Lepisosteus oculatus: one gene and its partner. The protein of the gene in region 1 purifies or fractionates together with the protein of each later gene. This does not show direct contact. Links are inferred from orthologs where the notes say so. Each region holds a gene or a part of one and is shown on either strand. Other genes may lie near its edges. The genes, in order: sodium/potassium-transporting ATPase subunit alpha-1 and hadhb.

The links.
Region 2: the proteins of sodium/potassium-transporting ATPase subunit alpha-1 (region 1) and hadhb fractionate together in Homo sapiens (co-fractionation; 3 studies listed by BioGRID, with this or other methods). This does not show direct contact. The link is inferred for Lepisosteus oculatus from reciprocal best matches to the Homo sapiens genes ATP1A1 and HADHB.

Annotation. Positions count from the first base shown.
Region 1 is NC_090710.1:32,970,069-32,973,989, reverse strand, and holds the start of sodium/potassium-transporting ATPase subunit alpha-1, read left to right. Parts: upstream 1-792; 5' UTR 793-961; coding exon 962-973; intron 974-3,921. UniProt on the Homo sapiens protein: This is the catalytic component of the active enzyme, which catalyzes the hydrolysis of ATP coupled with the exchange of sodium and potassium ions across the plasma membrane.
Region 2 is NC_090697.1:47,019,659-47,023,579, reverse strand, and holds the start of hadhb (trifunctional enzyme subunit beta, mitochondrial), read left to right. Parts: upstream 1-1,362; 5' UTR 1,363-1,465; exon of another isoform or gene 1,466-1,499; intron 1,500-3,756; 5' UTR 3,757-3,766; coding exon 3,767-3,833; intron 3,834-3,921. Other genes in the region: trifunctional enzyme subunit alpha, mitochondrial, read right to left, coding at 1,032-1,098. UniProt on the Homo sapiens protein: Mitochondrial trifunctional enzyme catalyzes the last three of the four reactions of the mitochondrial beta-oxidation pathway.

The DNA of each region.
Region 1 (3,921 bases):
TTTACATAAATCCAAACAAAGCTAGAAAATTAACGTATCTGGGAAATGTAAACCACACTTAACAGCATTAGTTTAAGTTAGTAAGGGTACTGAGGAAGGAGCGTGTTCAGTACTGTAAGTAATTTTAGGAAGAAAAAACATTGTGTTTCTTTTTGGTGACCTCATTCATTTTGTGCAGGTCACAGCCTAATTGCACAAGGTCAGAAAAAAATTCCATCTGTGTTTAAAATGCATCCTTCTATCTGTTAATGAAAGGTTACTTTAAAATAATCCTAGTTTTTAATTATTCAAACATAAATATTGCGTTATATATCCAAGAGTAGTATAACAACAAGGCTCTTGTTGAAAATGCTGTCAAAAACTAAATCAGTATTATTTTTACAACCCCTCGCCATAAAAAGAAACATTCACACACCGAGAGGGTAAATAATCACCATCTCAGATAAATCTTTCGAATGAAGCTCTTGGGTGATCGTCTTGTATACCGGCTGAACAAAAAAAACTGCAATACAAGCATACTCGAAAGTGCATTACCCAAAACTGACAAAAGGTTGAAAAAAAAACGGACAGCTCCGCTTTTCTGCTAAAAATTCTCGGCAGATTTGTACGTTCATCTACAGATGAACTTTTCATTCGCGTCAGATTGTAAATGAAAGTAACTTTATAGTTTATCAGGAGAACTGATAATAATAATCTACTCAAAGGAGGAAGACTCCTCCCTCATTTCAAGGTTACCATGGCAAAAAGTGCAGACGTCACCGTCGAACGAACCCAGTATATAAGTATTTGGAAGGCGGCGAGAGAGCCAAGGGAGGTCGGCTGTGGGCTACGGAGAGGTGCGGCGTGTGGACTGAGGACAGCCAAGCGCAGCAAAGTACACCCGATCCGATCCAAAAGATTTATCAGTTGTTCTTAACTCCTCGGAATTCGGCTAGGAAGATTTACACAAAACACAGCAAACATGGGAGTTGGAGTAAGTGATCTTCTCAATTTTCTCGTCTGGTGCCTGACAATCTGCCCTCGGCTAAGAGAGCGGCGCCAAAGGCAGCATAAGTCACACTCATACAGGTGGTGTTTTTTTTTTGTCTGGGGAGGGGACGGGGGCAACTAAGGAGCTGTCTGCAGCCCCAGAGTTGTGTGCGGGCGGCGCCAGCCCGTATCAAAGGTCCGCCGCGGACCTGTATCCGCGCTGGTTACTTGACTGAGGAGCGCGGAAAGTTCAAGGCGCATCGAAGAGTCGGCGGAGTCGGGCGGCGAGCTGGTTACATTTCACCAGGCGCCGGCGGCGGCTGCGCGCAAGCCAGTCGTGAGGAGCGGGGCTGGGAGTTGCGAGTCGAGTTTATACCTGGGGGGTCCTGACGTGTGAATACGGGCTGCTTTATAATCGTTGTCTGGGATTACAGTAGTAGTGAATGAAGGGAAGGAAAAAAAAAACGGCTAGATAACGTGTAACTTCCTCCTACTTGTTAAGCGTGGCCTACAGTTTTCCACGCTGAGAAGAAAAGGGAAAGAAAACTTAAACTCGCCGTCTTGTGACTAAAACAGATTAGTTAACTTATTGACATCAATATAACTATTTTCGGTTTTAAGTTTATTAATTTGTGTGTGTGTGCGCGCTGCACCAAACGGTAGCAGAATAAAACACATGTTGGATTTCTTCGGTATGTTGAAACTGAGCAAATCATGTGCTGGGGAAATTGGCGCACGTCTCGTTTGTCATCTGTGGTGGTGCTCGCCGGATGTCGGCTCAGCTCTCCTTTTCAGGTTTCCGAGAGAAAACGAGGTTCTGGTCCGTAAGAGTGAAGGGCTGGAGCTGCAGATGTGGATTATGTGCTGGCAGTGGCGCAGAGGCAGGAGGCGACGGGAGTGCGAGACCATCGTATTGAATTAAATGTGAGGGTGTCAAAAATGAACCTGTCTGTTTCTAGAAAACTGCGGTAGGGAAGTCAGAAACGTCGTTCAATAAAAAAGGGATGATCTTAAATTTGAAATCCAAAACTATACTCTTGGTTATGCGTTTTTATTGATTATGATTCATGGCTATAATACTCTGCACACATTTCCTTTTTCTTCTGAGGGATATTCGTTAATGAACTCGCCACTTTTATTTCCTAGAGACTGCTAGCCTTTTATTTTTTTCGGCGGCCCGTTTCCTGAACGCGATTTTTGCTACAAAAAATGTAGCGTCTTGAGACAAAATCACGCTTTACAGGGGCGAGTCCTTCACTTTTTGATTCTCGTCGATTCTCAAAAAGCTCTTGTCTTAAGTAAAAGCCAACTTTAAGACGTCTGGAGGTTAGCCTACTTTTAATTGGGGGGGAAAAAAAAACATGGTGACTCGTAGACTTTAGTTGAAGACTTTCAAAACCGTGTCTTGTAGATATGTTGCTAGGTAGAGGAAAGCTGATTTAAGTAGATCTCCGGCTTAATATGTGGGTAACAAACGGCCTTTCTAAGTGTGACCTCATTTTGATTTGTACGGTTTCTTGGGGGGTGCGCCCGGGTTTCTGGAGGTGTAGTGAGTATTCTATAGAAGTTACAGTTGCGTTTCTCTCGTAGCTGATCATTGAATCCGTATGCTTGTGAAATAATTAGTAACCCTTTTCATTCTGTCGTGTGGTTGTTTGATCGGCTGGAAATGCGATCCTTATTGCAGTTGCCAGTACGCCCGCAGAACCCCAAACACACTTGCTATTCATGGGCTCATTAATATGGAAGAGCAGCAGTTCTGTAGGTTCTTCCAGCCAATGCCTGGCTTTGTGTGCTGTCCTCGGAAACAATATTTAAAATATGTTCAAGGTTCAAAGTCTGGCTACTGTAACGTCTCTAAGAATAAAATCCTAGGGTGAGCCCATATCTAAGCAATTCCTTTAAAGATGTAACACTTTTTTACATCCTAGTCATGATTAATTGAACTCTTGTTGTTTATCCATCTCGGTAATAGAAAATGAAAGACTGTTATATGCTTGTCATGAAGGCTCAGTGATCTTAACTCTGATGTTTGGCAGAACATCAGACACAAGGAGAGCTGATTTAATGTGGGACATGCAGAGAAAGGGCTTGGCATCTTTCCTTTACTCTGTCACCCTAACAATGGCAAAAGTGGTGATCGTGACCCTCCTACAACATGTGATCCCCCACCGCACCTGTTTCACAATGCGGGAATGAAAATCGGTCAGCTGAAGTTTTTCCTTTTACTGTTTAGGACTTGGTAACCTTTTCCGAAAGTGGATCAGGTTCTGTGAAAGGATTCAGCAGACCCCTTTTTTCCTCTGTGCTGGTGAATTGAAGATTACGAGATTTAGCATCTGAGTGACAAATTGTCTTGGTTTTGACAGTCAAAGGAAGAGTTGTTTGTCCCTGTACAGCATAATTTCTCATTAAAACTAAGTGAACGTGGGGTTTCTTATGTATTGATTTTTTTTTTCCTAAAAAATCACTTTATAACCCAATCCTTTGTAGGCAAAGCAAATTACTTTTGAATATCCTGAGGTGTGAATGTATTTATTAGTCATTGCTGCTGAGCTAGGTTTCTGAGTGGTATACCTGTCCAAAGATTTGTACATGTGCAACAACTGTTTTGAGGCATTCTACAAAATGAGCTTTTTCTCTGAATATCTTGATCTGAGTTTAGATTGGTGCCTGTCTAGTTTACGTCAGCCTCTTGGTCTTTATTCACTGTTGGATCTTTCCTGAAATGTTTTTAGTCAGAGAATCCTCCCCAAATCCATTCTAAGAACATACTGTACCCAACTTTGGCAAGACCATTTCAAAGAAAGAAAATGCCAGTAAAACAAACCACAGTTTTTGCCTAAAATATTGAATACTTAAAGAAACAAGATTGGGTGGAGGGGACTTTTAATCCCCTTTGTATAACATCTAGTTTGCAGTTAAATATCGACTAGATTTCAGAATGAATTT
Region 2 (3,921 bases), on another chromosome or scaffold:
TAGAACTGATTTCTCCCATCTTTACAGAATAAAAAAGTGCCTTAAACTGAAAGGGTTTTGAAGACTGCAGTGATTTTCTCTTGCCACAGTGACATGAATGTTAAGGTATAAGAAGGTACAGCAACAGCGTTTTCACTCCACATAGGCTCAGTGTGCCTTAATAAAATCGATTTTCCCCTTGCCTTCCAAAAATTAAATGAATATACTTTATAGGCTTTTTATGAACTTTAAGTCAGAGGCACAGAAGTTGATCACTATAATTAACACTGAATATTAAACTGCACGGCACCCCATTTAATACTTTAGCAATTCTGTGTTTGAGTAGTCAAGTAGAACGAATGCTCCTCCATATTAAAAGGTAACTTTAATTACTGCAGAGTGATTAACAGCATTCTGGTATTTTTTCCAAATCTCCATATTCAACTAACTGAATGCAATACACATAAGGAAAGAAAACTCTCACACCCTACGGAGAATAAACAAAAACTGTAAGACTGAGTACATTGGTGTGTGTTCAGTCTTTGTGCTCAGTGTGTAGAAAAAGTCTTAATTTTTCCTAGCGTTGCTGTTTGTAGTACTGCACTATAATCACTTACTTCAAAGAATTACAAAAATCCAAAACATTAACTATTAAGAACGCTAATAATCATGATTAAATTCAATGAAATTGCCTTTAAGACTCAAAGAAAGCAAATCAATCACGAAAAAAATAAAAAGGAGAGCAACGTCTGGGTGAATTAAAACTGCAAAACGCATAAAGGAACAAATTGCCTTAGAAAAAATATTCAATTTTATATGCATCAGCTACAATAGACACAACAAAACCCTTATGTTATGACTTCTGTGTGCATTTCTATCAAAGTAACTGTCACTATTTAAGTAGGTGAAAGGTCAATGCAGACCTGCTTCAGTTGCATACTGTACACCCACTCATCCAGCACCAAGAAACTTCTCTTTTCTTAAACAATAATGGCAACAGAGGAAGGTGCAGGTGGCACCCAGCATCTTAATAAGCTAACATATTCAGTTACCTGAAAAGAGTGAATATCTGCTCGTTGCAAACCTGGAAAGTATTCCAAGCGCTCTTACGCCAGCCATCTTTGCCAGTCAAGTTCAGACAAGGGAGAGAACAACCTTTGGCAAGCAGACTAGGACCTTCAGTATTAATATCTGTTGAGGACACCACAGATAAGCCTGAGACAAAACATAAGAGAAAGCTTCTAAAAGTAAAATTTAAATATATATAAAAGTCTAAATATTCTAAATTATTAAGGTTTCCAGTTTGTACTGTTGTTCAATTTCCTACTATTATTTCATTAATGTAACGAGCCGCACAAGGATGTCAGGCGAGGATTGGGAAAGCACAACCTGTCGAAGGTCCTTAGAGAGAGACAACTGTAAGGCTTGTTGTGTCCGGGTCAGTCAGGGTTTGGGTGTTGCGTGTGAGTATTCCGTTACGGACAAGGTGAGCGTATTTCGCCAGAAAGAAAAGAAATCGGGTAATGCTTTCAGACATAGCGCTAAAACATGTGTAAACAAGCAGAGAAGTATGTAAAGCAGCATGCATTGTTTTTTTTTAAGTCATGGGGAAACATCAGGTGCAAATCATTGCGTTGCAGTTTTCACATTAGTAATTTGAAATTCAGGCGCTTCTATTTCAGTGACACTCCTCTTACTTAATAGTTTAACATTGCATCGTTCGTATAGATGTTATCTTTATGTGAATGAAATACAATGATCAATAAGTTGCAATCGGTACTGTTTTCGATAACTGATTAATATTTTTTTAAAGGTTGGTTATGATTTGGTACGTTATGTGAATAATTCATTTTCTATTCTAGATCGAGAAAATCGTGCCAAATTAAGCGAGCGTTGTCGGAGCCAGATTTTGTATTATTTTTGCAAGCGCCTTGCATTTCCAACATCGTTTGAAAGTTCTCTTTACCAGTAAGAAGTGCCCCACTTTTTTGTTAATCTCGGGATTTGTGTAACCATTAAAGGGAACACAGTTCTTGAATTGTGTGGATTGGATTATCACAGACCTTACTTTTCCAACCAAAATGAACTGCAATGTATTGTTTCATTGCAGAGGCTCGTGTGGTATGGAGGTTGGAGAAGTAGGTGAGAGGTCAAGTGTAGCTGTGGGCGGTGCTTCCACCCAGATAGGAAACTCTCACTCCGGAACACCCGATCTGTGAATATAATGTACAATATGAATTCCGTATGCGTTTTACTACCTTGAATTTCTGAAAAGGTGGAGTTAAATGTCAAATATATAGAAGTGCTTGAGAGATAACTAAAATGCTTTTGAGTCTCCTAGAACAGAATGCAGCTTCTTTGTGTAGACTGAGGCAGTGACGTTGCAGAACAGTTTACTGTCTTATCGTTTTATCAAAATGGCAGGATAAATATTTAAAAGAGTAGAACTTAACTCAGGGGGTTATGTTAACATTTGTGTGATGCAGACTTCATTTGGAATACCCTGTGTGTGTGAAGTTGGATAGACAACTTCATACACTCAAGCAGAAGGCAAAAAAAAAAAACACTTCAAAGATGTCATTAAGGTCAACCATGAAGTCAAACAATTTTGACACCAAAACCTGTCATATGTCTGCTGTGCTGGACAGCATCATTTAGAATATGGTATACAATTTAACTCGCCATGTTTTTATAAAATAGATATTGCTACTCTAGAATCCATCCAGAAAGGAGTAGTAACATTGTGGGGCTGAAGGGATTGTCCTACACTATAGTGCTGAAGAAACGTGAACTTTTTAGTTATGATCAGAGAAGGCTATAGGGGGATATTATCCAGAACCTGATTCAAAATCCTCACATGCATTGGCAGTGTCAACCCAGCAGAATCCTTCAGAATGAACAGTGAAACATGAACCATTGGACACAAGAAGAAGTGCGTTTCAAAACAGGAACAGGAGACACTTCTTTACCAAAATGGTTGTGGGAGTCTGGAACAAGCTACCCAGCCATGCTGAAGCTGTGATATCTTAGATTCTTTAAATAAATGGCTGGTTGAGATTCTTGTACTTTTAGTACTTACCACGAAATGGGCTAGTCGCAGGCCATTATTGAACTGATTTTTTTTATTTTCTTTCTTAATAGATTAGGATTGGTACAGTTTTATAAAGTTTTTGTAACCCTGCTGCTTTTTATGTGAAGAAATGACTCTTCTCACACAAATCAAGCTTATTATCTTGAGAACAACCTTTCACTTAGGTTCATGTGGTTGCTATGTAAAAGGCACGGAAAAAAACATCATGCTGAATTTAAATAAAACTATTGAAATAATGCAGGTGGATTGTTTTGCATTTAAAGCTTTAATACTGTTGTGAAGTTGTCATTTATGAAAAGGGAAGACAAGTTGTAGTTATGTTCATTAAATGCTACAGAAAACAGTGGGGGCTGTTTGACTTGTACCCCACTAAACATTATTAGATATTTATTTATCTAGTTTAGTGTTTTGTTTCTTTTTAAGACCTCTATATATATATATGCATTTACAAACAAGCTTTAAATCAGTTTTTCCTTTTTTTTTGGTAAATTTTGCATTTCCTAAAATTGTGAATCCTTCATAAACGGAAAGTCGTGATATCATACCTGGATTTTTATGATCATTCAGTGTAAGTGAAATACTTTGTTTAACAATCTTAGGATTAACTGTGAAAAAGATCAGGGTTCTATTACATTTTCCTTACAGAAGGAGAATGAATGTTGACGACTTTTTCTTCTGCATTTTAGGACAGCAAAAATGGCATCCATTTTGACACATGGCATCAGGAACTGCCCAGTAAATTCTGCCTGGGTTGTTAAACTTGGTAAGAAAAAAAGAACAGGTTATAAAAATAAAATTCAGAATAAATCAGTCTGTCATTTGGGATTTCCAGTCTGGTATCTTCTGGTTTC